2 linked regions of the Oryctolagus cuniculus genome follow. Each later gene encodes a partner of the first gene's protein in a complex. Links are inferred from orthologs where the notes say so. Each region holds a gene or a part of one and is shown on either strand. Other genes may lie near its edges. The genes, in order: RABGGTB and synaptobrevin homolog YKT6.

Region 1 (16,127 bases):
AAATGCATACAGAAGCCCAGAGAGCTGGGGCAGGCCAGATACAGGAGCCAAGAACTTCAATCGCATCTCACAGTGGCAGGAACTCAAGCATTTGAGCCATCATTTGATGCCTCTCATCATGCACATTAGCAGGAGACTGGATTGGAAGTGGAGTAGCTGGTTTTCAACCAGGCATTCAGATATATAAGATGCAGGAATCTCAACAACACCCCTGTGCATATTTTTATTTATATATGGGTTTATCTGTCATTTAAAATTCTTGCAGACACAAACCAATTTACAGCTGTTGTTCTACAAAACAAAAAGGGAATAAACAATGACATGGAGATGATACACTGAAGCAAAAACAAAAAACTGTACTTAGAGTAACAGCATTAACAAAACCTAAAGCTGAACATACAATGCAAAATCTATTTTACAGTATGTATAATTACATAATTTATTAAAATTAATTTAACACAATATACAAAATATTAACAGTAGTCAATGTTGGAATGGCAGCTACACTAAACAGCTTTTCCATCAGCCAACTAGCTCACTAATTCAGGCTGAACATTCACCCTGCGAAGCACTTCTTCAGGCATGCAAAAAACAGGATTAACAGGTTTTATCTGTTCTTCTCCCAGAAGGGACAATCCAGCAATTCCAAATAATGTATGAAAAGGATCCACCTAAAACAAAAATTCACAGATTACAAAATGAATGGTCTCCCCCAAAACCTTGCTTCAAAATATTTTATTTATACTGCAGCCAATTCCACTTTGTGTACAGGCTTTAACATTTTCAGAAATAAACTTAAACCTGCTTCAAAATATGACCTTTATCATATAATATTTACTAACTTGTTTAATAGGCAAGGAGATTTTTTCTGACACTATTCAGTAAAGTACACTGCTTTGACGTTACATGCCTGGAAATGCCTACATCAATGAAAGTAATGCAACACTAAAAAGATATATAAACATTAGAAATATACTTGCCATATCTCCTGGCCTGTCTGCAAATCCCCCCGTTTCTTCATCTTGACATGCTAAGATGAAACTCCGCAGTTTCTCTCTATCAATCCAATGAAGTCTTCCGATAATCTTTAGAGAAGCCAACACCCACCATGAATAGCACACATCTGGTAACTAGGAGTAGGGGAAAGCAACAAATAACTACTAGTATTAATTCTGTTCTTAAGTCATTAGTAACAATTTAAAGTGAAGTCTCATCTAAGCAATCTGATATTCAAACGGTGAGAAGTAACAAAAAACATTAAAATATGTTTGCAATGTTTGCTTATAATTAAAAGATAACCAGTGGGAAAGAGAAAACTAACTCCAATTTATAAGTACCCATTCTAAATGTTTCAGGGCTCCGTGACAAGTATATATCTACATTTCTAACTGCATCAATAAATTCCTAACTCAGCCCATTAACCAAGAAGCTGATGAGAGGTTCATGAAATCTCTTGAGGGGGCTGCAGTAGGTAAAGCCACCACCTGCAGAGCCAGATTCCCATTGGGTGCTGGGACTCTCCACTTCTGATCCACTCTCCCATGGTCTGAGAGAGCAGTGGGAAGATGGCCAAAGTCCTTGGGCCCCTGCACCCCCGTGGGAGACCAGGAAGAAGCTCCTGGCTTTGGATGGGCTCAGCTCCAGCTGTTGTGGCAAGCTGGGGAGTGAACCAGACAGAAGGCCTCCCTCCCTCCCTCCCTGCAACTCTGCAGATGGAAGACTTGCTCCCTCTGCCTCTCAAATAAATCTTTATAAAAGTCATCAAAAAATTAAAAAAAAAAGAAATCCCTGAGAATGTTACAATAATCTACATACAACATTTTCCAATGCTTTCCAACTAGGCACCAATTTGCCTTAATATCTTAGATCTAAAGCCTGGCTCCCCAAATTTCTTACGCATGATTCAGGGGCACACTAAGTGTATCCAAGAGCAGAAGCGTTTCAATCTTTTGGATTCTACTTTTGCCACTGGCAGGCTTTTTGAGATATTATAATGGAAGAAATGATAAGTTGAAAAGTCACAATAGGAGGAAGGACAAGGACTTCCTCATTACTACGAAGTGGCATTGATTCAAGCTTATGAAATAATACCTTCTCTGGTCTTCCATTAAGTCCACCTGAAGGCAACTGTCGTTCACAAAGCCACCAACCAAGTAAATCAGAATTTACTTGATGCAGCTGACTAGTAATAGCCAGGAATCCTGTGCAACAATAGATCTAAAATTACAGACATAAAGTACATGTGTATAATAATGTGACAGTAAAATAATGACAAAATCCAACTATTCAAATTATTAAAACATTTTTATCACTTTTGCCTTCTGATCTGATGATTCAACATTTCTAATTTTAAATAATTGCAAAAATCCAAGTATACTACTAAAATACATGTCATGGCATGTCTCTTATGAGACCTACAGATAAGGTTAAGTATAGTGTAAGTATACTGCACAAAGGGATGCTACATATGATGGGAGATTTTATACTACTCAGACCAATGAAAAACTTAGTCTTAAGTTGACCACAGGTATTACAATTGTGGAATGCAAAGTCATGCATAAGGGAGCAACCACAAAAAGTACTCTGGCACAAGCAATGAGCTGCCCGTTTGGCTCATGGTAGGTAGAAATGTTTTCAACTGCATAGTTAAAAATTGAATATATTTCGGTTCAACTGCTTGGGCCAGAGAGATCTACTAACAGAATGGTACATAATGCAAAATATTGTGGAAAAGCTTTCCGTAATTCTTAACATCCAATGTTACACCCCAATGATATTACACTTAACACATTTCCCTGTCATCACAATGGTAAATCCTTCAAAATTGATACTAAAATTTAATCTGAATTAAGTTACCTGCCCAGCATGAGATTCAGAACCCGGTCTGCAACCAAACCCACCATCAAAGTTCATGCAAGATAAAACAAATTCGATGGCTTTTTCCACATCAATTGCATCAAGCTTCCCCTATAAACAAAGAAATATGCCTGTTAAATTTCAAAAGTCCTCATGGATGCTTCATCATTTCAATATTCAAAGCTTGGGGCAAGCACTGTGGTGCAGCAGGCTGGGCCACACTTGGGATGGCCACCCATCTGTTCATATCCCAAGTCAAAGTGTGTGAATAGAGGATTCTCAGTTATTATTTCCAATCCAGCTTTCTGTGAAGTACACCCAGCAGTGATGGCTCATGTATTTGGGATCCCTGCCACCGAATGGAAGACCATGCATGGCTCTGACCTAGCCCAGTCCCTGGCTCTTGTGGACAATTGGGAGTGAACCTCTGTGTGTCACTCTGCCTTCCAAATAAACAAACCTTAAGTATTTTCAAAGCTTACCAACAGAGCTAACGTTGCCACCGCACAGAAAGAGAATCTTGTATCAATTTCTCCTAAAACAAAAAGGAATCAATCAAACCATTATCAGACTTCCTTCTGATATAGTACAAGTTACCTAAAAACAAAATCTGTACACCTACTAGCTTGAATTTCCAAGAGTTCAAGCTTAACATCAGGTAGTCAGAACTGCTTAAATCTGAAGTTCTAAGTCTAATAACTAAAAAACTACTCTGTCAAAAATAACAGCAAATTATCAATGTTGTTTATGGGGGTCCAGAAAGGGAAGGAAACATCTGAAAAAAAACTAGCTAATTTCAAAAAAAAAAAATAAAACTTACCCTTATTTAATAAAAAGTAGATTTTCACATCCCATGAAGCAGCTGGTCTTTCTGGCCTGCACTGTGTTTAGCCCTAAAACACAGATTATCTACATTTATCAAATAAAAATCCTATTCCCTCCCTCCACACAAATATTCAGTAAGTTTGTAAAGTTTTTTTAGAAGTATTTTTCCCTTTCCAGCAAGTACTTTTTAAAAACTTTACAAAACCACCAAATATTGGGGGAAAAAAATTTCACCTACCTTATCTTTTAGACTGGCCCCCTCTGTTCCAGTGCTCCTGTATGCTGTTATAACTACCACAGTGCATGCTGGAACTTCCAGCAGACCATTAATTCCAATTAGACCAGCTGCTTCGTGGGACCTGAAAAAATGAAATACTTAAAAAAAAATCTACAAACTGGCTCTAAGCGAAGTGAGGACATTTTAATATTGGTATTTGGGAAGCATGGACTAAATATGACATTACCCCAAATGTCTCCAGCAAATGAACCATCTTCTTTCTGTAGACTTTGGACATATTCCACAACTTTATTCACGTCAATAACATTAATACTATCATACAGAGTAAGAATCTGCAACAAAGAAACATTAAGTTAATGCCCTCTGTTCTGATGCCCTCTCCTCAACTATCTTTGAAGTTATAAAGCATGTCTGAGTGTATACCGAAAACTTTCCCCCAATATACAATCTTGTTAGTCAACAAAATTGAGACACTAACCAAAAAGCAATTATTTTTCCACGTATAAACTACAATGCAGCATCCCAAAATACTCAAATATACTGTATGTAAAAGTACTTATTTACATACAGAAATAGTTGGGCCAGCCGGAGGCCAAGAGCTTCTTTCTGGTTTCCCATGTGGTACAGGGGCCCAAGTTCTTGGGGCTGTATTTTGCTGCTTTATCAAGTGCATTAGCAGGGAGGTTGACAGGAAGTGGAGCAGCCAAGACTCAAACCAACACCTATATGGCATGCTGGCATTGCAGCTGGAGGCTTTAGCTACTATGGTACAACAATGCCCCCCCCCAAAATAGTATTTTAAGTTGTTGTGGTGCATTGAGCTAAGCTGTGCCTCCTGTATCAGAGCACCTGGGAAGGCAGAGAGTCCTTGGGAATCTGCCAACAATGTGGGAGACCCATATAAACTCCAGGCTCCTGGCTTTGGCCTGGTCCAGCCCTGGCCATCTGAGGAATAAGCAGCAGATGAAAGGTAGGTCTCTCTCCTTCAAATAAACAATTCAAAATAAATAGAAATTTTTTTTCAATGAGTCTTTAAGTCATATGGGTTGGCATTAAGTATTGAGGCAATGAACTAACCTGCCACTTTGTTTGCATGCACCCTACCTAGGAGTGCTAGGTCAAGTTTCAGCTACTCTGCCTCCAACACAGACCTGGATGGCGTTTTTCCTGGGCGCTGGGCCCAGCCCTTACTATTGTGACCATTTGTATTGGCCTTCAGCAGAATGAAGACCTGTCATTCCAACTTAAGGAAAAAAAAAACAGGGCTGGTGATGTGGCACTTTTGGGTGCTAGTTCCTGTCCTGGTTGTTCCACTTCTGATCCAGCTCCCTCCTAACACACCTGGGAAAGCAGCAGGGGATGGCCTAAGTGCCTGGGCCCATGCACCCATGTGGGAGAAGCTCATGGCTCTGGACATGCCCAGATCTGGTCATTATGGCCATTTGGGGAGTGGACCAGCAGATAATTTCTTTCCTTTTCCAATCAATAAATAAATCTAAAAACTCCACTTAAATATCTTTCAAATGCTTACATATATTAAGCACAGAATTTTTAATCCTCCAAGGTCTCAGTGTAATTTTATAATTCACATCAATGGTGATTCAGCTAATACATGCCATTCCATCATTGACCTTGTAGGACAGACTCCACTTGTACATGGAACTTTACAGTATCAGTTTTTCATCTTCCTGATAAAGTTTCAACTCCTGGCTTTCATTTAAGAGCATTTACTATTAAGCAATTGAAACTTTTAAGTTATTTACCTGGACAGCACTAAGAGTATACAAAAGGTGAGGGTCATGTCCAATACTTGCACTTATTCCACCACACTCATGTTGGCATGACTTAATAAATGTCAGAATTTCTTCTCTATTCATGCGATGAAGTTGTCCCATGAGATCCATTACTGTCAGACCCCAATAGATGCCACTCATCCTCAAGTACTCGGACATACAGTATTCCTAAAATACATAATTTTTTAACTTTGTCAGTTTGAATTGATGATTTAAGTGGTGAAATGCATAAAGCAAATTCATAGGCATATCACTGATTACTTCATGTGATCATAACAGTATCACTAGTTAGCAATAAATTTAACATTAATTAGAAAAAACAATCACTTGTGAAGCATGATAAAAAAATTCATGTGGTTAATATCACTAAGAGTTTAGCTCTGCCCAAGCACCAACCAAAAGTAAGGTAAATTAGAAAATTCATCTGCTTATTTTCTCATAGTGTTCAGGTAAGTATTCATTCTTTTAATATATGGACTTTGCACCACACCTATTATGCATTTTGTAATGACATTAACCAGTTGAAACTTGAAATTACCTAAGCATGGAAATCATAGCATGCACAGATGAAAATGAAGATTCTAGAAACAAATTTCTGTTTCAGTTATCAATGGATTATACTTGAGAAGTCTAAAACTTAAATTTGCTACCAATCCAAATTCAGCATTTACAGAGTATAGAGTATGTTAAGTCAAAACTTCAACACCAGATGTCCTCCACAATCCAGGTAATCTAGCTGATCAGATACATTAAGGAAAAAAAAATACCCACTCCCAGCTCTATCTGTTCATTTTCCTAAGATTGTCCCAAGGGATACTGCTTTTCTTTTTCAAAAATATTCAGGTAAAACTTTTTCAAGGTCTCAGCGTAATTCTAGAGCTAAAGTGTTATTACACATCAGCATTAAATTCAGGTAATACATGCCAACACATCATTGACCTTAAAAGCTTCACCCAAACTACAACAGAAACCTGTATCATGCCTCAAAATCCTAACCCACTTTGTCTGGCGTTGCTAAGTACCATTTTGGTTCTGATATACCTCCCCAATCTCACATATCCACGATGCACTTAATCTGGAGGGCACATCTTCAGTTGTATACAATTTTAACAAACAGGACATAAAACACTGCCCTACTGCTTGTGCCTAACAGACCTCTTTAAAAACTTTCCCACATAAAATCATACATACGTAATCATCTTTCTTTGAGCCATAGGATGCAATATAATCAGCGTGTTTCTCCAATAATAGGGAGTTGGGAGCATCTGGTTTGATAACAACATCCTTCTGAGGTGTACCCTTGCAAAACAAAACAAGAGTTACCTTATCAATGTTTACTTTGTTCTCAAAGTGTACATTCAATCTACTTTTTTACTTTCATTTCATCCTGTCACAGGAAAATTCAATTGCACGTGAGTGACCAAAAAGAATGTAAAGCATTATAGTTCTCATTCAGTCAAGGGTCAGGTATTTTTCAGGTCTCAGAGTAATTCTAGAGCTAAAGTAGTAATAATCAACTTTAAATTCAGAATACATGCCAGCTCATCATTGACCTGAAAAAAAAGGACCACTTGCATTTGTTGCTGCTTACCATTCACTTTTAAGAGCTAAATAAAACAAACACCATAGGTTATCAAAAACATGTCGCAAATTTCAATTCCTGCTGAACCTAATTCAGGTTTTCGAAGAACCTTCCACACCACCAAAATTACTCAAATTTTCAAGGAAGGAGTCTTTCCAACTCCATCTTCTCCACCCTCAATCGCAGTGTCTGGGTTTCCAACCAGTCCCCAGGTAATGAGGACACTGCTCTAGTTCTCGTCTACCTCTTCCTAACTCCGCAATGGAGTTACTCTAAGTAGGTCACGACGATTCCTCAAAGTGATTATGTAGCGAATTCCCTGATTCCATTTAAAGATGGAGGTCTCCAAGCGAGACCACACTACGAATCTTAACTATTTCGGGAATCCTAAAAAATAAATTTATAAATAACACGTATTCGTTAAGGACAAAAAGCCAACAAGCAGTTCTGGCTTTTAAAGTAATTATGAAATCAGGTCGCTTAATCTAGTGAGGCCTGCGAGACAGGCGGAAGCCTGGACAAAATTAGAAGCGGCGACTGTGCCCGCGAGGTCTGCAGCAATGCTGAGTAACACTTCAGCCCAAGTCTTCCAGAAAACTTCAAAGGCCAGAGTCTTAAATCAACCATCCTGCAACACTCGGTGGACAACCACATCGTAACTACAGGGCTCTACGCTACCTCACTCTGTCTCCTTACGACCCAACCACACAGTACCAAAAAGCTGAGACCCATCACTCACCATGTCTAGGAGCGAAAAGAAAGAAAAGTCCGCTGTCCCGGGAGACTTAAACGGCGTGCGCCTGCGCAGATGCGCTCCTAAGGCCCCCTCCGCCACCTGACATAGCTGGCCACAGTCCTGCCTGAAGGACGCAGCCACTCCGTGTCCTAGGACCCCACCGGATGTTCGTAGCTGTCCTCGCCGCCTGTTAGGAAAGGTCGCGGCGCTGGTTTGCGGCTACCGAGTTTACACCAATGTCTGAAACGCAATGTGAGTTGCGTTTAAGAAATTATTTGTTCTTGGGGTCGTTTGTGATTTGAATATCTGAAAGGACTGTTACTGGAATGCCTGCTTGCACATGGAAAGTGTTTGGTGAATTTATTTTGAATACATGTTAATAAATTGTTCAAGTTCCATTCCTGTTTGCCTTAACCATTCCAGGACCCGCCCCGGAATTACTTAGAAAAACACACAAACCCACATACCTGGTTAGGAGTTTTCCACAAAATTTAATTTGCTAGGTGAGTTACAGCTATTTTCATTTGTGAATTCTTTACACTTAGAGTACCCATTACAAAATATGGGCACCGTGTCCCCTAACAATGGTAAGTTTGGAAAGGGGTTGCTCACATACTGACAAGTGGGCTCTCCGTAATTGAGGGGCCAAGTCCAGGGCGCAGCGGTGGTAGGTTACATTCTTTCTCGCTGTAATTATGTTGATTTTGCATTTATAGCCCCAGGGCTACTATACTAAATGGATGTGAGTTCAGAATTGTTATCTAGTTTTGGTGAGTTGAGCCTTTCATCATTTTAAAAAATATTTTTTAAAAATTTTATTTTTATTTGAAATGCAGAAACAGGGAGACAGATATACCATCTGCTTGTTCACTTCCCCAAATTGTCTGCTATAACCCAGAATAGACCAGGCTGAAGCCCAGAACTGGGAATCAGTCCAGGTGTCCCACATGGGTGGCAGAAGGGATTACCAGCTGTCTTTCAGGCTGTGGGTTACCAGGAAGGTGGAATTGGTAGCAGAGTTGGGACTCTTGAACCCAGGCACTCAAATATGGAATAGGGGCATCGCAAGCAACTTCTTAACTGTTGGACCACACATCCACCTCAAGCCTTTAATCATTAAGTGAAGATAAATCTCCAGCCCCAATAATGGCAATTTATTTTTTAAGATCTGCTTTATTATAATCTACTTTTTTAAATAGTAATTTCCCTAGCTTTCTTTTGATTAATAGTTATCTCTAAGAGAGGGTTTTGTTTTGTTTTGTTTTGTTTTTTAAGATTTTATTTGAAAGGCAGAGTGACAGAGAAGGATGGATGAAGAAGAGATCTTCCATCTGCTGGTTTGCTGCCCAAATAGCTGCAACTCCCAAGGCTGGGCCAGGCTGAAGCAAAGGAGCCTGGAACTCCTATTTGGGTCTCCCACATGGGTGGCAGTGTCCCAAGTACTTGGGCTATCTTCCACTGCCTTCCAGGCACATTAACATGGAGCTGGATCCCAAGCAGAGCAGCAGGGGCTGGAATTGGTACTCCTGTGTTGCAGGCAGCAGCTTAAGCTGCTTTGCCACAACAATGGCCCCAAGAGGGATTTTTTTTCTTCAACATTTTACTTTAAACCTTTGTGTGCACTTAGATTTTGAGAGAATGATGGGCTGGCACTGTGGCGTAGAGGGTAAAGCCACCTCTTCCAGTGCCAGCATCCTATATGGGCGCTGGTTCTAGTCCCAGCTGCTCCACTTCTGATCCACGGATCTTCTATGGCCTGGGAAAGCAGTAGAAGATGGCCCAAGTCCTTGGGCCCCTGCACCCATGTGGGAGACCTGGAAGAATCTCCTGCCTCCTGGCTTTGGATCGCACAGCTCCAGCCGTTGTGGCCAACAGGGAAGTGAACCAGCAGTTGGAAGACTTCTTTCTCTCTGCCTCTCCTCTCTATGTAACTCTTTCAAATGAATAAATACATGTAAAAAAAAAAAAAAAGAATTATGGAAGCCTCATATTCAAATTCAGTAACATTCACATTGAGTCAATACAGGCTGAAGGATTGAAAAATATACTTCACTTTCTACTTCCTAGGTGCTTTCCACAAATATGTAATGGTTACTGAGAATGTGCCAATATTTTTGGTTTTAGGGGTACATTGATAACCAAAATAGAAATACACACAGAATATATTCTAACAATCTTATAATCACATTCTGCAATTCTATTTCTATGTATTAATCCAACAAATATATTCCCTTGGGTGTGAAGTGACTTATGTACAAGAATATTCATAACAGTCATTTTTATAATTTTACAAATATCTTAATTGGCCATCAGAAGTTTAAGTAGGAACATTCAGCCTAGCCGGTAAGATGCCCACTTTCCATGTCAGAGTGCTTGGATTCAATTCCTGGCATGGCTCCAGACCCCAGCTTCCGTCAAGGCAGACCCAGACAAGCAGTGGTTCTGGCCCCAGCCCATCCTCAGCCATTGCAGGCATTAGGGGAGAACCAACAAATGGGAACTCGCTGTCTCTCCAAAAAAAAAAAAAAAAAGTTAAAGAAAAAACCACTATCGTGGGATGGTATTGTGGTACATTGGGTTAAGCTGCCACTTGGATGCCTGCATCCCATATCAGAGTATCAATTTGGGTCTTAGCACTCCAATTCCAATCCAGCTCTCCTAATGTCCCTGGAAAACAGCAGATGATGGCTCAGGTACTTGAGTCCATGCCAACCATGTGTGAGACCAGCTTGGAGCTCCTAGCTCTAGGCTTCAGCTTGGCCCAACTCTGTTAGGGCAATTTAGGGAGTGAACCAGCAGATAAAGACCTCTCTCTCTTTCTGTCATTCCTTTCAGCCTTTTAAATAAATAAATCTTAAAAAAAAAAAAAAAAACTGTGATAATTCATTATGCAGCCATTAAAAAGAAAAGAGGGGCCTACACTGTGGCACAGCAGGTTAAACTGCTTCTGATAGTGCCGGCGTCCCATATGGGCGCCAGTTCAAGTCCTGCCTGCTACACTTCTGATTCAGTTCCCTGCTAATGGGCCTGGGAAAGCAAGAGGTGACCCAAATTCTTGGGCCCCTGCACCCAGGTGGGAGACCTGGATGAAACTCCTGGCTCCTGACTTTGGCCTGACCCAGCCCTGACTGATGGGGCTGTCTAGGGAGAGAACCTGTCTTTCCCTCTCTATAACTCTGAATTTCAAACAATTAAGTAAATCTTAAAAAAATGAGGAAATTAAATATAATGCAACAGAATAATCTTCAAAATATCATAAGTGAAAACAAGCACAAAAAATTATCAAAAAGTATAGATTGCTACTATTTGCATAGGGAACAAAAGGAAAATATATGTCTTGAATTGCTAAAAGCATTTGCCTGCAAGGAGACGAGATGGTCAGGAGATAGGATAATAAGAATAGCTTGCTTTTCACTAAACATTCTGGTATTCTGGAAATGTGGAAAAAGTTCTTACTGGCTAATGTCATAAAGCATATGGCTATTCAGATTTTTGAGACATTAAGTATTTAAAAAATGTGCATTATAGAATTAATGTAGTAAATAAGTCGCTTCTGAAGCAGCAAATGTAGAAGAAGCATATTATGTGCTTCATATTCCATTTTTAAAATTGTGTTTCTTTCTATATATTTTATGTGTCTCTGATTTCTTTACCACTCTATATTTATTTTTAAGATTTTGTTCTTCTGTTGCTTTCTCAGCCACATTAGCAGGGAACTGGATTAGAAGTGGAATACCTGGGACTCAAACTGGCTTCTTAGGGAATGCTTACCTTGCAGGTAGCAGCTTAACCTGCAGGCCCCTCCACCCTAGTTCTAATTCAGTACAAGCAAATGAAATTTTGTCTAAAGTCCTGAAATTACAACTCTTCATAACTAAGTAGTTAACAATAATAAAAGGAACCCTAGATAGGTAAAATGCAAGGAGTAGAATCAGAGAGCCATTTAAAACAAACTTTTATGTAAAATTGGAGATTAAAGAAGCATTTTTTTAAAAAGCTGTGTTTGGGGGCTGGCACTGTGGTATGGTGGGTAAGTGCTGGAATCCCATATGGGCAGTGGTTCAAGACCTGGCTGCTCTACTTCTCATCCAGCCCTCTGCTAATGTGTCTAGGAAAGCAGCAGAGGGTGGCTCAAGTGCTTTGGCCCTTGCAACTATTTGGGAGACTTGGAGGGAGTTCCTGTCTCCTGGCTTTGGCCTGGCTCAGCCCTGGCCATTGTGGCCATTTTGGGAGTGAACCAGCCAATAGAAGATTTTCTCTCTCTCCCCCTCCCTCCCTCCCTCCCTCTGTGTAACTCCACCTTTCAAATAAACAAAATACATCTTAAAAAAATTGTGTACTTTAATTATGAACTACAAGAAAGACCTTGAAAGCCACTTTTTACAAAAGAAATATTTGAAGTTTTAAGGTTTAAAGTGGTTGATAGAAGTTTGTTTTAATAATAGATTGGTTCGGGGGCCGGCGCTATGGCACAAGTGGGTTAATGCCCTGGCCTGAAGTGCCAGCATCCAATATGGGCGCCAGTTACATGGGGTGCCAGTTTGAGACCCGGCTGCTCCACTTCCGATCCAGGTCTCTCCTATGGCCTGGGAAAACAGTAGAAGATGGTCCAAGTCCTTGGGCCCCTGAACCCGCGAGGGAGACCCAGAAGAAGCTCCTGACTCCTAGATCAGCGCAGCTCCAGCCGTTGTGGCCATTTGGGGAGTGAACCAGTGGATGGAAAACCTCTCTCTCTCTGCCTCTCCTCTCTGTGTGTAACTCCAATTTTCAAAATAAGTAAATCTTTAAAAAGATAATAATAATAGATTGGTTCCCTCTTGATTAGAGTTATTTAAAAATCGGTATGTTCATTTTACATTGCATGCATCATGATTTTATCATTTTGAAGGTTATGCTTTACCAGCTTTGAGGTCACAGATACCCAAATGGACTCACAGAGTCAGGTAAAGTATATTGCTTGAAAATAACACCTTAAGGGGCCTGCACTGTGGCATGGTGGGTGAAGCCGCCGCCTGTAGTGCTGGCATCCCATGTGGGCGCCGGTTCGAGACCCAGTCGCTCCGCTTCCAATCCATCTCTCTGCTATGGCCTGGGACGGCAGTAGAAGATGGCACAAGTCCTTGGACCCCTAAACCCACGTGGGAGACCGGAGGAAGCTCTTGGCTCCTGGCTTCGGATTGGCACAGCTCCAGCCATTGCAGCCAACTGGGGAGTGAGCCAATGGATGGAGGATCTCTCTCTCTCTCTCTCTCTCTCTCTGCCTTTCTCTGTGTAACTCTTTCAAATAAATAAATAAATCCTTAAAAAAGAAAACACCTTGGGTTGAGGCACATCTTTTTTTGGCTCTCAAAGTGACCCCCAAATAATAGTAGGGCTTTAACTTTTTTTTTTTTAAACTATATTTATGTAGGATTTTCCCTCCCTACTGATTTTTGTGTTTGTTTTTGGTTGCAGATTCAAGCATGGTCCATAAATTAGTCACTTTTTAATCAATGAAATATGGTATGCTATTTCTGAAGTGGCAGCAGTGATTGAGACTGCTTGTTCCATTTGATGATCTCTGTCAGTGTTAGGAATAATTTTTCTCTTGGAAGATAATAGAGAATCTGATGTGTTGGTCCATATAGTTATGAGTGTTAATAAATTAAGAACTTCTTACCTACTGAGAAGGAGAAAAGCTCTTGGAAATCTGAGCAGCTAAGTATATTTTTAGCCTGTGACTTAAGTGTTTTTTTTGTTTGTTTGTTTGTTTGTTTTTTTTTTTTTTTAATTTTTGACAGGCAGAGTGGACAGTGAGAGAGAGAGACAGAGAGAGAAAGGTCTTCCTTTGCCGTTGGTTCACCCTCCAATGGCCGCCGCTGCAGCCGGCGCACCGCACTGATCCGATGGCAGGAGCCAGGATCCAGGTGCTTTTCCTGGTCTCCCATGGGGTGCAGGGCCCAAGCACCTGGGCCATCCTCCACTGCACTCCCTGGCCATAGCAGAGAGCTGGCCTGGAAGAGGGGCAACCGGGACAGAATCCGGCGCCCCAACCGGGACTAGAACCCGGTGTGCCGGCGCCGCAAGGTGGAGGATTAGCCTATTGAGCCACGGCGCCGGCTCTGTGACTTAAGTTTTATATCTGAAACTCTGTGCCTGTAAATTTGTGATTGAGAAAGGCCTTGACTTCTCATTACATGTCCATGAAATGTTTTCAAACTTTTTAATAGGATAAGTTAATAAATTTATTAATTTATGTCATAACAAAGAACTCTGTTTAATGAGCTTGCTTCCTTGTTTTACTCATTAACCCCCTCACCAACAATGTGAGAGATTAATATTTTACCTTCTGTCTAGATAGTGGAGATATTCTGTCTTTTTTTTTTTTTTTTTTTTGACAGGCAGAGTGGTCTGTGAGAGAGAGACAGAGAGAAAGGTCTTCCTTTTTGCCATTGGTTCACCCTCCAATGGCCGCTGCGGCCGGTGTACTGCAGCCGGCACATCGCGCTGATCCGAAGCCAGGAGCCAGGTACTTCTCCTGGTCTCCCATGGGGTGCAGGGTCCAAGGACTTGGGCCATCCTCCACTGCACTCCCCGGCCATAGCAGAGGGCTGGCCTGGAAGAGGGGCAACCGGGACAGAATCTGGCGCCCTGACCAGGGCTAGAACCCGGTGTGCCGGCGCTGCAAGGCGGAGATTAGCCTATTGAGCCGCGGTGCCGGCCCAGATATTCTGTCTTACCAGACAGAATGCACAGGATGACTTTGTCATCCTGAGTTATTTTTAAAATTTTATTTATTTGAGAGATAGAGAGGGAAAGACAGATAAAGTTCCCACATACTGGCTCATTCCCCAGATGTCCACAACTGCTCAGTGAAGCTGTGAACCAAGGACACAATCCAGGTCTCTCCCATGGGTGGCAGGAATGCAACTATTTGAACAGTCACTATTGCTTCCCAAAGTCTACACTGTCAGGAAGCTGGAGCCAGCAATCTAACTGAAGTACTATGATAAGGAATGCAGACATCCCAACTGCTAGGCCAAACATCTAACCCTAGCCATGAAGTATTTAAAAAAGACACAGAGAGAGAGACAGAGAGAGAGACAAAGGAGAGAGAGAGAGAGAGAGAGAGAGAGAGAGAGAGACAAAGGAAGAAAGAAAAAGAAAGGCCTCATTTGAAAAATAGCTTAAGTTCCTTATATTATCCTATGCTGGATTTTTTTCATACTTTATTTATTTTAAAATATTTATTGTTCCTTTAAGTAGGGACAGGCTGGGGGGGTGGGGGTGGGGTTGTGGTCCAGCAGGTTAGGCTGCTGCTCACAATGTCCCCATCCCTTATGGGAGTGTAGAATGCAGCCATGATGGATCAAGTTCTTGGGTCCCTGCCACCTATGTGGGAGACCCACATGGAGTTCCTGATTCCTGGCTTTGGCCTGGACCAGTCTCAGCTGTTCTGGGCATTAAGGGATTGAACCAGTGGGTGGAAGATCTCTGGGTCTCTCTCCCTCCCTCTCTGTGTTACTGTGCCTTTCAAATAAATAAATGAATCTTTAAAAAATAAAAAGGGACAAGAACCTTTAATATTAACTTAATCGAGTGATGTCTGACAGCTCTTTTGATTTCACCTTCCCACAGTCCAATGTTTAATTTAAACATTTGTATTAATTAAACATTTGTATTTTATACCTACAGTTCTCTTTGAAGTTTTCTGCAGGGCCTCTGAAAAATCACAAAAATGTGTTTATTTACTTTATGTAAAGAGGATGTCAGAAATAATTGACTTTATTTCATGTGCTCCATATTTCCTGTCAATGCTCTTGGAAAAGTTGGTAAATAAGAAAGAAGACTAACTTGGCCTTTCTTACTTTAAATTTGTATTGGTAGCGGCTGGTCCTGTGGCTTAGCAGGTTAAGCTGCTGCCTGTGGTGCGGGCAGGCATCCCAGTTGGGTGCCTGGCTGTTCCACTTCCTGTCCAGCTCCCTTCTAATGTGCCTGGGAAAGCAGCAGAAGATGGCCCAAGTGCTTGGGGTCCTGCACCCTCACCCATGTTGGGGACCCAAAAAAAGCCTCTAGCTCCTGGCTTCATCCTGGCTCAGCTCTGGAGATTGATTACAG
Region 2 (14,868 bases), on another chromosome or scaffold:
TTCTAATGAAGAGCTAAGATATGGGTATCTTGATCTTTTTCTTGATCTTAGAGAAAAAATATTCAATTTTCTACCATTGAGTATAATATTAATTATTGTCTTGTCATATATGACCTTCATTATGTTGAGATGAATTCCTTTTATATCTAATTTGATGAGTGATTTTTGACATGAAAGGATGTTGAATTTTGTCACATGCATTTTCCGTACCTAATGAGATGACCACATGGATTTGCCATTCATTCTTTTAATGTTATGTATCACATTAACTGATTTGCATATGTTGAACTATCCTTGTATCACAGGGATAAATACTACTTGATCATAGTGAATAATGCTTTCAATGTGCTGTTGAATTAAGTTTATTCATATTTTCTTAAATATTTTGCATGTATGTTCCATAAGAATGTTGGCCTCTAGTTATGATTAGTGGTTGTGTTTTGCCTGTTTTTGATATCAGGGTAATGCTGGCCTCATAGAGTGATTTTTGAAAATTTCCTTCCTCTTCAATTTTTTTGGAATACTATTAATATTAGTATTAGTTCTTCTTTAAATGTTGGATAGAATTCAAGAGTGAAGACAAACTCCTGGATTTTTATTTCATGGAAGATTTTTTATTGGATACCATTATTTATACTTGATCTAAACAGATTTCTCTTTTTTTTTCATGGTTCAGTCATCTGTGTTTGATTCCTTATCTTAATAGGAATGTTTCCAACCTTTCCCCTTTACAATAAGATGCTGGCTGTTGGTTTGTCATAAATTGCCTTGATTGTGTTGAGGAATGTTCCTTCAATACCCAATTTCCATGAAGTTTTCATCATGAAAGGATGTTTTATTTTAGCAAAGGCTCTCTCAACATCTATTGAAATAATCATATGATTTTTATTCTTAAGTTTGTTAATGCAATATAGCACATTCTGATGCGTTGTTGGATTCAATTAGCTAGCATTTTGTTGAGGATTTTTGCACCTATGTTCTTCAGTGATATTGGTCGGTAGTTCTCTCTCTCTGTTTTATCTTTTTCAGGTTTAAAAATTAAGGTTATGTGGCTTCATAGAAGGAGTTTGGGAGAACTCTATACCTTTCAGTTATTTAAATAACAGGAGAAAAATTGAATTAATTCTTTTTTTAAACATGTTGTAGAATTCAGCAGTAAAGCTAGTTGGTCTTTATTACTAATTCAATCTCTGTCTTGGTTATTGATCTGTTTAAGTTTTCTGTGTCTTCATGACTCAATTTTGGTAGATTGCATGTGTCCAGGAATCTATCCATTTCTTCTAGGTTTCCCCCTGTGTTGGCATACAGTTCTTTGTAGTAATTCCTGAAGATTCTTTTTATATCTGTGGTCTCTGTTGTTAAATTTCCTTTATCATCTTTGATTCTATTTATATGGGTCTTCTCTCTCTCTTTTTGGTTAGTTGGGCCAATGGCATGTCAATTTTGCTTTTTTTTTTTTTTCAAAAAGCCAGCTCTTCATTTCACTGATTTTTGTATTCTTGTTTCAATTTTGTTTATTGCTTCTCTAATTCTAATTATTTTTTTCCTCCTACTAATTTTGGGTTTGGTTTGTTGTTTTTTCAGGTCCTTGTGATGCATTGATAGCTCATTTATTTTGTGCTTTCTGTTACATCCAATAAGTTTTGGTATGTTATGTTGTCATTTTCATTTATCTTAGGGCATTTTAAAATTTCCCTTTCAACTTTCACCTGCTGGTAATTCAGACATTTGTTATTAACTTTTAAATAAAATACCTCCTATTGTTTATTTCTAGATTTATATGATGGTGGATGGACAAGATACTTGATATGCTTTTAATCTTCTTAAATTTATTAAGATTTGTTCTGTGGCCAATTATATGATCTATCCTGAGGAATTTTGTATGTGCATCTGAAAAGAATGTATATTCTACTGTTATTGGATGAAATATTTTATATATGTTTGTCAGATTCATTTGATCTAATAGGGACGAGGAATGTTCAGCTGGCAGGCTGCATAAGGCCTGTGAAATCATTTGGTCTGTCCCTACCACGGTAACCACAGGCAGGACTCAAAATTCTAAAAGTCTATAGCAGGTTAATTTTAAGTTGATAATTTTGTATAGCCTGCAAAAGTTGTTATAAATATCCAAATGGTCCTTAGGAGAAAAAGTTTCCCCACCATGCTATAATGTAGTTCAAGTTCAATGTTTCCTTTTTTTGTCTGTGTAATCTGCCCATTTTGGAGAGTGGAGTATTGGAGCTTGTTATTTTATTGCAGTGTATCATTTTCTTAACATCTATTACTATTTATTTTATATATTTATGTTCTCCGTGACTGGTGTACTTATATTTATAATTGTTATAACTTTTAGGTGAATCGACACCTTTAGCATTATATAATTGTCTTCTTTGCCTCATTTACAGTTTTTGACTGAAAGTCTATTTTTTCTTACATCAATATAGGTTCTCTTACTTCTTTTCATTTTCTGTTTGCATGGATTGTCTTTTCCCATCCTTTTACTTTCAATATATGTGTGTTCTCAAGACCACTGGTTGAACTCTGCAATCAATGCACAACCATTCTTAAGCGTTTAAAAATTAACAGAAAATTGATCTCTGTGGAACATGGGAGTGGGAATAAGAGAGGGAGGAGATATAGAGGATGGCACATACTCACTCAGACCTACCTCCAATGGTGGAACTAGAAACGTGCCAGGGGATTTCAACTCAACCTTACCAAGGAGGCAGGTACCAATGCCAGCATACTTGGTAAAGTGATAAGTATAAATACACAACCGATCAAAAAGATAGGGTAAGTGTCAAAGAGATTACACAAATAAGACCAGTGTAAGCAAATAATGAAAGATAGAATCAAAAGGGAGAGAATGATCCTGCGGGGGAAGCAGGACACACAGCAGACTCATAGAATGGCAAATGCCCAAAACAGCACTCCTGCCTCAGAATCAACCCTTGGGACATTCGGATCTGACTAAAAGGTCCATGAGAGTCTCACAGGCATGGAAAGCCATGACACGGTGGCCAAAAACAATCTAAATGAAAGATCCTGGTGAACAAGACCCAAGCAGAAGGATCAGGCCATCAAGGAGAGAGGCGCCTTTCTCTGAAGGGAGGAAGGAACCTCCACTGTGATATGGCCTTGACTAAACAAGTTCAGAGTTGGTGAACTCAAGGGGCTTCCATAGCCTAGACAGCTCATAGAAAGAGTCTCGGGTGATTGCTGACATCATAAATAAGAGTGCCAATTGTTAAATCAACAACGGGAGTCACTGGGTTCATGCTCCCCACGCAGGATCTCTGTCCTTAATGTGTTTAACTATGAAACTCAAAAACAACACTACTTACTAGTCGAACAATACCCTATACCTGGTTCGGTTGTGTGAGTGCAGCCTGTTGAAATCCCTACTTAGTATATACTAAGTTGATCTTCAGTATATGAAGGTAATTGAAAATGAAACGTGATGAAGGGCGGGATGGGAGAGGGAGTGGGTGAGGGGAGGGCCACGGGAGGGAGGGAGGTTGGGGCGGGGAGCCACAACAATACAAAAGTTGCATTTTATATTCTACTTAAAACTGTTGGTTGAACTCTGTAATTAATACACAATTACTCTTAGGTGTTTAATTAATGCTATAACTAGTACTCAAATAGTATTTTACACTTTGCGTTTCTGTGTGGGAGCAAAATGTGGAAATCTTTACTTAATATAAGCTAAATTGATCTTCTGTATATAAAGATAATTGAAAGTGAATCTTGATGTGAAGGGGAAAGGGAGAGGGAGTGGGAGAGGGGAGCATTGTGGGTGGGAGGGAAGTTATGGGGGGGAGGAAGCTATTGTAATCCATAAGCTGTACTTTGGAAATTTATGCTCATTAAATAAATAAATAAATAAACAAAGATTTGAAAAAGGGCGGCCTAACCACAAACTGTCGTTGCCATGACGACGGGACCCTGGGGGGGTCAGAATGTGGGCGGGGCTAGCCTCTAGAAACTGTATATAAAGGTACCCTCAGCCGCTGTAAACCAGAGGTTGCTCAGCCTCCCTCTCCCCAGTCTGTAGTGCCTAGTGCCGGCGGGGAGAAGCTCCTGGTCCATAGTGCCTAGTGCCCGCAAGAGTAGGCTTGAGCGATCTCTCCTCCTAGTCGCCTAGAGTAACAATAAAGTGTGTTTAGCTTGAAAAAAAATATATATATATGTGTTCTTAAAGGTGAATAGTGTCTGCTAGGCAGTACACAGTTGGTCCTTGTTTATATTTTAATTCATTTAACCATTGTATGGCTTTTTGATTGGAGAATTTAATTCATGTCCATTCGAGGTGATTTTTGATAGGTGGCAACTTACTATAGCTGGTTTGTTAATTGTTCTCTGGCTGTATCATGGAACCTTTGTTCTTTATTTCCTCTCTTGCTGAATTCCATTGTGATTAGATGAATTTCTTCAGTATGATGTGTTGATCCTGCCTTTCGTTTATCTACTTAACTGCTTTGCTTTTTAGTTACCATGAGGCTTACATAAAACATCTTACAGTTAAAGCAGGCTATTTTAAGCTGACAACTTCAGTTGCATTCTTAAAAATCCAGTATTTTACTGCATTGGTACCCCAAATTTTCTCGTTTGTTGCCATGATTTATATCATTTTATGTTGAATATCCCTTAAGAAATTGTTGTAGCTATTATTTTAATAAGTTTTTCAAATTTCATGTTAAAGATGTTATTTTGTCACTAAAATCACTGTTAGAGTATTCTGAATTTAGCTGTTTATTTTTATCATGGAATTTTGTAGCTTTATAGGCTTTTTCGTTACTAGTTAGCATTCTTGCCCTAATACTAGTGTTCCCATGGAAGTCCTTGCTTGTGGATTTCTTCTCTTTCCAGGGAAATTTTTTTTTTGACAGGCAGATTTAGACAGTGAGAGAGAGAGAGAGAGAGAGAGAGAGAGAGAGAGAGAAAGGTCTTGCTTTCCGTTGGTTCACCCCCGCAAATGGCCGCTACAGCTGGTGCACTGCACCAATCCGAAGCCAGGAGCCTCCTGGTCTCCCATGGGGTGCAGGGCCCAAGGACTTGGGCTATCCTCCACTGCCCTCCCGGGCCACAGCAGAGAGCTGGACTGGAAGAGGAGCACCAGGACAGAATCCGGCGCCCCAACCGGGACTAGAACCAGGGTGCCGGTGCTGCAGGCATAAGATTAGCCAAGTGAGCCGTGGCGCCGGCCCAGGAAACTTTAAAAATTTGCTGACAAATGGAATTAAAAGATAAGTTTATTTCAGTGAAAAATATTGAAGAAAGACTCTTTGTATTTGCTGTCAGTTTCTTCAGTGTTTGAGGTAGCCATTTGCTCCATTGTGCCACTTATCTGAGAGATCTGGGATGATTTGTTATAATTATTCTCTTGTTCTGGTTTTTTTTTTTTTTAACCTATTAGGTCAGAATGGTGATTCTAAGCTTGTTACATGCCAGCCCTGAAACTGGAAATCTCTGGTAATGTTTTTATTTCAATTACTGATATGTTTTTACTCAAAAGTTTCTTTTTGTTTCCTTTGAAAAATTCTGTGCCTGTAAATATTCTTTCTTTGTTGACATATTTTTCTCATGCTTCCTTTTAGTTTTTGAACATGTTTGAAGTACTTGATTTAGAAGGTTTGCCTAGTAAGTCTAATGCTTGATTCCTCAGGACAATTTGTATTTGCATTTTTCCCATGTGTATGGATTGTGGATTTTTTTGTGTGTCTTTCCACTATGTGTATGGTTGTGTGTGTATACAATTTAAAACTGGGCATTTTATCTAAAATATATTGTGGCAACTCTAGAAATCACATTCTACTCTTCCCCCAAACACACATACAGACACGCGCGCGCACACACACACACACACACACTCCAACTCAGGGTTGGTTGTTTCCAGATTTTTTTTTATATCAATTTATTTTATTTTTATCATTTATATTTATTATTAAATTGTTTATTTTTATTTATTTATATTATTTATCTCAATTTATTTCACAAAATTTGTATTCTTTGTCCTGCATAGCCACAAAGTATTTCTTCTTTTGGCTTAATGGTCACCTAAAGATTGAAAAAAGCTTTTCCTAAACACCTGTAACCGGTAAATCTCCCAGTCTTTGCTGAGGGATTCTGTGTTCTTCGAAAACTTAGTCAAGCACTTTACTACTCTATCTCAGCTTTTACTTCCTGCTAGCTCAAAGCCTCAGAATTTGCCAATGTTAGGCTTAGTACCTATTCAGGAGGTCTCTCTTGACTGTATGCATGTCATAGAAACATGCAAGATATTTCAGATTTATAGGAATATGCCCAGCTCAGCTTTTCAGAACCAGTTAAGTACCATTCATTTGTCAGCTTTTCATTTTCTAAAGTTTATATTTATTTTTGTTTATTTGAATGGCAGAGAGAGACAACAGACAGAGAGACAGACCAAGATCAACCATTTGCTGATTCATTCCCCATATGCCCACAACAGTGAAGCCTGAGCCAGGCTGAATCCGGTAGCCCAGAACTCAGTCCAAGTCTTCTTTGGGGGTGGAAGGGACCCAACTACTTGAGTCATCACCCACTGCCTCACAGGGTGCACATTAGCAAGAAGCTGGAATCAAGAGCAAAGCTGGCACTCAGTCCCAGACACTATGATATGCAATACAGGTGTCTCAAGCTGTTTAACTGCTTTGCCAAATGCTCACCCTCAGCTTTTAATTTCAGTGATTTTATTTGGCCAATATTTTGCCACAACTTTTTTTTTTTTTTTTCAGAAGACAATTTTATCCCAACGGGAGTTTCTCAAACAGAACACAGAGAAGTGAGGCAGCAGTTATTAAAATACACTCTCACCAATGATTTGACTTCCGAATACAGCAGGGAGCAGGGAAGCATGGGGCGGGTGCCCATCAAAGACAGGGCCAGAGTCAGACCCACCTGCCCCCGCTGCCCTGCTGGGCCAGGGGCTGTGGACAAAGGTCTCCCTCTTCCTCCAAGTTCACACCTCCACCCCGTATCTCCCAGCATCCTCTGCAGACGTGCAGAGGTGATGCCCCAGCACTCCTCCTCCTGCAAGATCCGGGTCCCCCCCCTCCACCTGAGGCCCCAGTGTGTGGGCTGGGTCTGCACCTCCCAGAGGGCCCCGGCTGGGGGTTCTGCAGCAGTGGGAAGTGACCTGAGCAGGCCATGGCAGGTAAGCTGGAGCCCTTGGGCAAGCCCAGGGGCCGGAGACAAAAGGCAGCTGCAGGTAGAACAGCCAGGGAGCCCTCAGAACAAGAATAAGGCCCCCCCCACTGTGCACTCTCACCCCGTCAGGGAGTCAGGGCCACCAGGCCCTCCCGTGGGGACAGTGGGAGCTGCCAGAGCAGTGTGGTAGGCTCAGGAGGATGTGGCCACACTGGCTCAAAACTCGCAGATGACACTGTCCAGCGACGAGGGGACTGAACCCCAGGGGTGCAGGCTGAGCGCAGTGGGGCATGACGAGGCGGCTTGGAATGTGGCACTGGCACGAGGGCACCTGGTTTCCGCGGTCACAGTGGCCTCCTCGGGGGCAGGGGCCAGCTTGGACCAAGCCTGCCCCTGACCACAGGCGGGTGATGGGAGCACTCCAACTGCTGGGCCCACGGAAGGGCCCATGTGCTCAGGCACCCGCAGTCCTGCGTTCCGAGACGGCGGCACCTGCTGCTTCCACCTGGGTGTTCAAGTCAAACTCCGAGCCAAGGCAGCGCGCCCGCCTCGGGCCAGCGAATCACCTGTGCGGGTCTTCCAGCGGAACACACCCCACGCGCCAGGACGCCGGGACGCCGGGACACGACTCACACCCCCAAGAGCGTATCTGCATCAAGTGTCAGCTGGGCGGCCCTGGCACAGGCAGGTGAACAGCGCAGGCGATGCCCCGCGTCCTTGGGCCCGAGTGCTGGCCCGCTGCCAGGCTCCAGGCCCGGCGCTGGGCCGCCCTCTCCTGCGGCAGCTTCCCCAGGTGCTGACTGCCCACCGGCCCTGTCACGGGAGGCTCCCACCCCCACCCCGCTTCCTGGAGAGTTAGTATCGTTAATGCACAAATAAAACCCAGACATACCAGGATCAAACAAGAGCTGGCTCTGCACTTCCGGGGTGGCTGGGATCAGCCCTTCAGTACCCACAGGAGCCACTCAGTTTATGGTTTCATTTGCCCAAAAATACACCGTCAGGGGCCTCAGATTCTTTCGAAAAATCACCAGACATACGAATGCGAACGTCCCCACCCCTCCACCACCCCGTGGGTCCTTCCAGAAATTCCAGAATAAAAATGGCCAGGTTGCCCCACCTGGGGCCTCTCCCGTCCGGGCTGCGGTCCTGATGTGATGACGGTGACGGCCCAGCGCGGCCGCGCATGCTGCGTCACATGATTGCACAGCAGGAGTTCTGCTTCCGGGCAGTCTTGTAGAAGGCCTTAGACTGTGTTCCCAGCACTTCCGACTTGGACACCAGGTCATCCAGCTTCTCCCCTCGCTCTAACAGAGACTCCATGGTGTTGTGCAGAATGATTTTGGTCTCGTCTAGTTCCGCTTGTACCTTAGTCATGGGGTCTGCTTCTCGAGGGTTCTGGTATCTGCTGAGGTGACCGTCCAGTGCCGTGTACTGTATTGTGGCAGGGGACCCCACCGGCCACTCTATCCTGTCGACCTGCTTGGAGAACTCGTCCAGTACCTTCTCTAGCAGGGTGAAGGCGACCCGGGACGGGTACTCACTGTCAGCAATGACCACACCCGCGAGACTGTCATTCCGGACATAGACATGGCACAGGTACTCTTGCTCTTTGACGGAAGCTCTGCTGCCTTTGGCCGAGCGCTCCACAATCAGCTGACTTGTGAAGGTCATGAACTCCTGGACGCTGGCCCTCTGGAAGAAGCTGAAGGAGGACACGTCGTACGCGGCTTTGAGCAGCACCACCTTGGCCTCGCCTTTGTAGAGGACGCTGAGGCTGTACAGCTTCATGGCGCCGCGCCCCGGCGCCCCCCGCCTGGCCGCGGGGCCGGCTCGCAGGGAGCAGCGCGGCCGCCTCCGGGGCTCCCCACCGCCGCCCGCCGGCCTCCCGGCCTCCCCGCGCCCAGCTGCTGACCAAGCCGCCGGAGCTTCCTTGCCACAACTTTTATCCAGCATCTGTTTCCTACCATTGTCTCTGATTATCTTGGACAGATTCTTCTGGTGAAAAGGTTGTTCACACTGGACAAGCTGAGTCAGGTCACATATAGACAACCATATAAGTGAAATTATATAAGATTTGAAAGACCCAGAAGTCATTTCAAATAATGACAATTCTTTGGGAATTGAGCTCCAACCCTATTTTGCTCCCGTCAATTGCTTCTAGACTGCTGGTGTTACTTTGTCTTGGCATTCAAAAGTACCCCACATCTGGCAAGGGACTGATAGGAATAGCACAGATTAAATTGCTGCGATGATCAGTGTTCTTAGCCAGATTCCTACTTTTCTTAAACATGAGAGTACTTCAAAACATTTGTTGGAAAATGGAATTAAAAGTTTATGGGTGGGGCCAGCGCTATGGCACAGTGGGTTAATGCCCTGGCCTGAAGCGCCGGCATCTCTTATGGGCACCAGTTCTAGTCCTGGCTACTCCTCTTCTGATCCAGCTCTCTGCTATGGCCTGGGAAAGCAGTAGAAGATGGCCCAAGTCCTTGGGCCCCTGCACCCATGTGGGAGACCTGGAAGAAGCTCCCGGCTCCTGGCCTCGGATCGGCGCAACTCAGAGTCTCATAACTGGACATCAAAATATGTAATTAAGAAAAGTGTTTTTAACTGAAACACTTGTTGCAATGAACAAGCCTTTTTTAGATAATGTAACTTCCTTCAAGGAATAAGAAAGATATTATGTATTAGAAAGTCTTGGTTAAATTCATATTTTCAAAGATGTTAGGGAAACCCAATTAATTTTTTTTCTTTTGAGGTTAAAGTTATATACTATCATAAAGTTAAACCTAACAAAATTAGATCTTCCATCAATAAAGGATTGCTTTATTATGACCTGATTAACCTTGCCTATATTAAGTTACTTTATACACAACATACTCTATTTATCGAATCCCAGAATTACAAAGAAATATGTCTAAATAAAATTTCATATAACTGAAATTTATCAATTACTGTTTCATCAACATTTAGATAACTGACACTACACACTAAAAAGAGAAAGATGGTTCTATGAACATGAAAAGTGCAAAGAATTATTCCTCCTATAAATTATACGAAAAGAATCTGAAATGAAATGTACAATACTACAAGTTTGAATTACAATAGTTTTAGAATTTTGGGAGAGTAATGGATAGCAAGATACTGATAGTTTTCTGGTACTAGTGATTTGTACAGTTTCAAATTCTTCTCAGACTTCTGAAAGGAGCAATTAACTACTACGTGCCAACAATATGGACTGTTTGCATGACTCATCTCCTGTTGTTATTGTTTTAGATAATTTCCTGCTTGTCATCCTGTCTTCTCTGCTGATCATTCCCTACATGACCTATTTCTTCTCATCCTGTGTGCTCTGGGCCTTATGGCTTAGTTACTATTAGTTAACTTTGAGCTTATCTCTGTATCAATACAAGTCAATATAAGTATAATGATCTCATTCAGTATTCAGAGCAGAAAACCAAACATTTCCTCACTGGAGTTAGGAGTTTTTATTAGGTTCTTGAGTAATAGGGGGTTCTATCTGAGATAAAGATGTGGAGTGTTGCATTAAAGAGACTAAAGTAGATGAAGAATCAGTGGTAACTACTGGAACCCAATGAGTTCTCTCTCAGTAAAGAACTCGGGAAATTTACTTTATGGTCACCCTTCTCTGGAAGCCTCTGCACATGCTTTTGGGTATTATTTGGAATAATATATAAATTTTAAATATTATTTGAAATAATACATAAATTTTGCTAATAGATAAATTAAATTATATTTGTTATAGATACATCCTCAGTGTAGAATGTTTATGCTGTTTGGATAGACATACTATGTAATCCATTCTTCACTCAAAAAAAACATTAAAATAAAAGATGGTAGCTTTTCAGACTTGTCGCTCCCCCTCTTCGCGGAGGAACAACACAGGACCCTGCCTAGGCTTCATATCCGAGTCACGGCACCATTATGTCGCTCCCCCTCTTCGTGGAGGAACGACACTAAACCCTGCCTAGGCTTCCTATCCAAGTCACGGCACCATTATGTCGCTCCCCCTCTTCGTGGAGGAACGACACTAAACCCTGCCTAGGCTTCATATCCGAGTCATGGCACCATTATGTCGCTCCCCGTCTTCGTGGAGGAACGACACAGGACCCTGCGCTGTTCTTTTGTCTGCTCAGCCCTCCCCGGGTTTGCTGCTGGTTCTTCCCGGGTTGGCTACCGTCCCTCCACCTCCGTGGAAGGGTGGTTCCCCCTGCCACATTCCCCACTTCCGCGGGGGAACGGCACACCGCCGGCCGGCTCTCTCGGGGGCTGCACAGGTGTTCCTTCAGATAGATGTTCCTGGTGCATGTTGTCTCTCTCCTCCTTTATAGTCCTCTTCCACCAATCCCAACTCTGCTACCCACACGCCGAGTACGCTGCTCTCCTCCAATCAGGAGCAGGTCCTGCTGTTTATTGGTTGAACTGGAGGCAGCTGTGTAGAAGCTGTTTCCTCCCTTCTCAGCGCCATATTGTGGGAGAGCAGATGCATAGAATAAGTCTTAATTCCAGTAACTTAGTCTAGTCCAAGTTGCTCCCAGTTGCTCCCCACAAGACTTCTCTAATTTGGAACAGCAGAAAATTCTGAAGTATTTGTTTTTACATAAGGCATTTACAAATTTCAAAGGCATACCATTCCTATAACTGGAATAATAGTGTCACAAAATTCAGGTAATCAAGAAATTTGCCTTTAGGAAATATTTATTATAATTAATGTACCAGATATTTACTTGTGTGTTGCTACTTCTAAATTGCTATACATTGAAAAAAAACTGGGCTGGCGCTTTGGTGTAGTGGGTAAAGCTGCTGTCTACAGTGCCAGCATCCCATATGGGCTCTGGTTCGAGTCCCAGATGCTCCACTTCTGATCCAGCTCTCTGTTATGGCCTGGGAAAGCAGTAGAAGATGGTCCAAGTCCTTGGGCCCCTGAACCCGTGTGGGAGACCCAGAGGAAGCTCCTGGCTCCTGGCTTTGGATCTGCGAAGTTCCGGCCATTGCAGCATCTTGGAAGTGAAACAGTGGATAGAAGCCCTCTCTCTTTCTCTCTGCCTCTTCTCTCTCTGTGTAACTCTGGCTTTCAAATAAATAAATAAAATAAATCCTTAAAAAGAAAGAAAATATCTGATGATTATTTTAAATGCATTCAGTCAACTACCTCTGACTCTTGTTGATCACATGGAATGTCTCAATTACCATGCTAGTCCCTAGAAATGTAGTTAAATAAAAGTAATCCCTTCACAGTCTTCTATGGACAGCTGGAGAAAATAGAATGTAAGCATTACTACTGAAACTCAGAAGATGGATATCTAACCCAGATATATAGAGAAATTAAGAATATTTTAGTCATAGGGAGCAGCATGTGAAAATCCCCATAAATCTAAGAGAGCATGGTGCCTTCAGGAACTGCAAGTAGTAAATATGATTGGAGCACAGATGAAGGGAAGAGTGATGGTGAAAGACAGAACGTTTACTTGAGTAAATTCAAAACCTAGAGGTACTATTTAAGAGATTATGAAGGCATGTTTTAGGACATTAAGGAGTAGGATTTTATTTCTGAGATTTATTTATGAAAAGCAGAGAGATGGGAAGAGAGGGAGGGAGGAAGGATAGAGAGAGAGAGAAAGAGAAAGAGAGAGGGAGAGAGGGAGAGAAAGATCTTCCATCCATTGGTTCACTCCCCATGTGGCCACAATGGCTGGGGCTAGGCCATGTCAAAGTCAAGAGCCTGGAACTCCATCAGCGTCCATGGGTTGTGGGGAGCAACTGGGAGCAACTTGGACTAGACTAAGTTACTGGAATTAAGACTTATTCTATGCATCTGCTCTCCCACAATATGGCGCTGAGAAGGGAGGAAACAGCTTCTACACAGCTGCCTCCAGTTCAACCAATAAACAGCAGGACCTGCTCCTGATTGGAGGAGAGCAGCGTACTCGGCGTGTGGGTAGCAGAGTTGGGATTGGTGGAAGAGGACTATAAAGGAGGAGAGAGCAACATGCACCAGGAACATCTATCTGAAGGAACATCTGAGCAGCCCCTGAGAGAGCCAGCCAGCGGTGTGCCGTTCCCCCGCGGAAGTGGGGAAAGTGGCAGGGGGAACCGCCCTTCCACGGAGGTGGAAGGGACGGTAGCCAACCCGGGAAGAACCAGCAGCAAACCCAAGGAGGGCTGAGCAGACAAAAGAACAGCGCAGGGTCCTGTGTCGTTCCTCCACGAAGACGGGGAGCGACATAATGGTGCCGTGACTCGGATAGGAAACCTAGGCAGGGTCTAGTGTCCTTCCTCCGCGAAGAGGGGGAGCAACATAATGGTGCCGTGACTCGGATATGAAGCCTAGGCAGGGTCCTGTGTCGTTCCTCCACGAAGAAGGGGAGCAACAATGGGTGGCTGTGAACCAAGCACTTGGGCCATTTTCCACTGCCTTCTCAGGAGCATTAGCAAGGAGCTGGATTAGAAGCAGAATAGTCAAGATTCAAACCAGCACTCTGATATGGATTGCTGGTGTTGCAAACAGTGGCTTAACCTATTGTTCCACAACACCAGCCTCAAGAGTAACAGTTTTATACTGATGTTGATTTAGAATTTTTTATTTTATAAAACTTAAATTAAATATTTATTAATATACTATGGATCAAATTGTGTTCAGTAGTTCACACACAGTACCTCTTATTTATTTTTTAATTCACCACTAGCCATAATATTCAACAAGTAAAAAGCAGGAAGCCCACAGTTCCACAAAAGTATAGTCAAGGGCTAAAAACAATAATCATATCACAAGATATTCATTTAATTCTTATACATTTTTATATTCTATACTAACTGCCACATATCAGAGAAAACATACAATATTTGTCTTTTTAGGACTGGCTTATTCACTAAGCATAATGGTTTTCAATTGCATCCATTTTGTTGAAAAAGACAGGATTTCATTCTTTTTTTTACAGCTGAGTAGTATTCCATCATGTATATATACCACAATTTCTTTATTCAGTCATCAGTTGATGACATCTGGGTTGATTTCATATTTTAGCTCTTGTGAATTGAACTACTGAGAATTATTTATTGAGAATAAACATGGGGATACAGGTAAGTTTTTCATATGCTGATTTCATTGGGGTACATTCCCAGGAGTGGGATGGCTGGGTCATATGGTAGATCTATTTTCAGATTTCTGAGGAATGGGAGTGGGCAATTAGCCTGTAGTTAAGATGCTCATATTCCACATTGGAATACCCAGGTTCAATTCCTGGTTCCAACTTGTATCTTCAGCTTCCTGGTGGATGGGAGATTCTCTCTCTCTCGCTCTTGCTCTCTCTCTCCTCTTTCAAATAAAGTAAAAAATAAATAATCTGTTTAAAAATAAACCTACTGATAACACAGATTATGATCATTAGAGTTTTCAGGGAAGACTTCTCAGAGGAAGTATTGGCTGAAATGAATCAAGTGGGAAACACTAAGGGCTAGTTATTCAAAGAAGGATGTTTTTGACACAGGAAGAGAAGCACAGGTAAATCCCAGAGATATAAAATAACAAGGCACAGAGAAGTGTATTATGGTAGCATGGATTGGTGAAGAAGATGGCAAAAAGCTAACGTGGGCTGCATGTGGGAGAGTTGTGGGGATTTGATAAATGGCTACATGGAAGGAATTGGCGCTTGTGTTGATGGGCAAAGCCTGTCTTCT

Evidence for each region.
Region 2: the proteins of RABGGTB (region 1) and synaptobrevin homolog YKT6 are in contact, whole or in part, in a crystal structure (PDB 6J7F), measured with the Homo sapiens proteins. The link is inferred for Oryctolagus cuniculus from reciprocal best matches to the Homo sapiens genes RABGGTB and YKT6. Residues at the interface, in NP_004573.2 of Homo sapiens: Thr3, Pro4, Gln5, Lys6, Asp7, Ile9, Lys11, Tyr37, Leu45, Trp52, Leu236, Asp238, Cys240, Arg281, Gly283, Asp284, Met285, Asp287, Phe289, His290; in NP_006546.1 of Homo sapiens: Lys60, Gln62, Asp63, Leu65, Asn83, Glu84, Tyr85, Pro86, Ser87, Leu153, Asn155, Thr156, Glu158, Arg189, Lys190, Cys194, Cys195.

Annotation. Positions count from the first base shown.
Region 1 is NC_091438.1:96,203,640-96,219,766, forward strand, and holds RABGGTB (geranylgeranyl transferase type-2 subunit beta), read right to left. Parts: upstream 10,556-16,127; 5' UTR 8,037-10,555; coding exon 8,034-8,036; intron 7,267-8,033; exon of another isoform or gene 7,188-7,266; intron 7,012-7,187; coding exon 6,904-7,011; intron 6,653-6,903; exon of another isoform or gene 6,569-6,652; intron 5,881-6,568; coding exon 5,683-5,880; intron 5,552-5,682; exon of another isoform or gene 5,481-5,551; intron 4,252-5,480; coding exon 4,146-4,251; intron 3,392-4,145; coding exon 3,339-3,391; intron 2,968-3,338; coding exon 2,857-2,967; intron 2,218-2,856; coding exon 2,092-2,217; intron 1,131-2,091; coding exon 981-1,130; intron 672-980; coding exon 531-671; 3' UTR 198-530; downstream 1-197. UniProt on the Homo sapiens protein: Catalyzes the transfer of a geranylgeranyl moiety from geranylgeranyl diphosphate to both cysteines of Rab proteins with the C-terminal sequence -XXCC, -XCXC and -CCXX, such as RAB1A, RAB3A, RAB5A and RAB7A.
Region 2 is NC_091453.1:62,999,184-63,014,051, reverse strand, and holds synaptobrevin homolog YKT6, read right to left. Parts: upstream 9,103-14,868; 5' UTR 8,962-9,102; coding exon 8,365-8,961; 3' UTR 8,068-8,364; downstream 1-8,067. UniProt on the Homo sapiens protein: Vesicular soluble NSF attachment protein receptor (v-SNARE) mediating vesicle docking and fusion to a specific acceptor cellular compartment. Functions in endoplasmic reticulum to Golgi transport; as part of a SNARE complex composed of GOSR1, GOSR2 and STX5.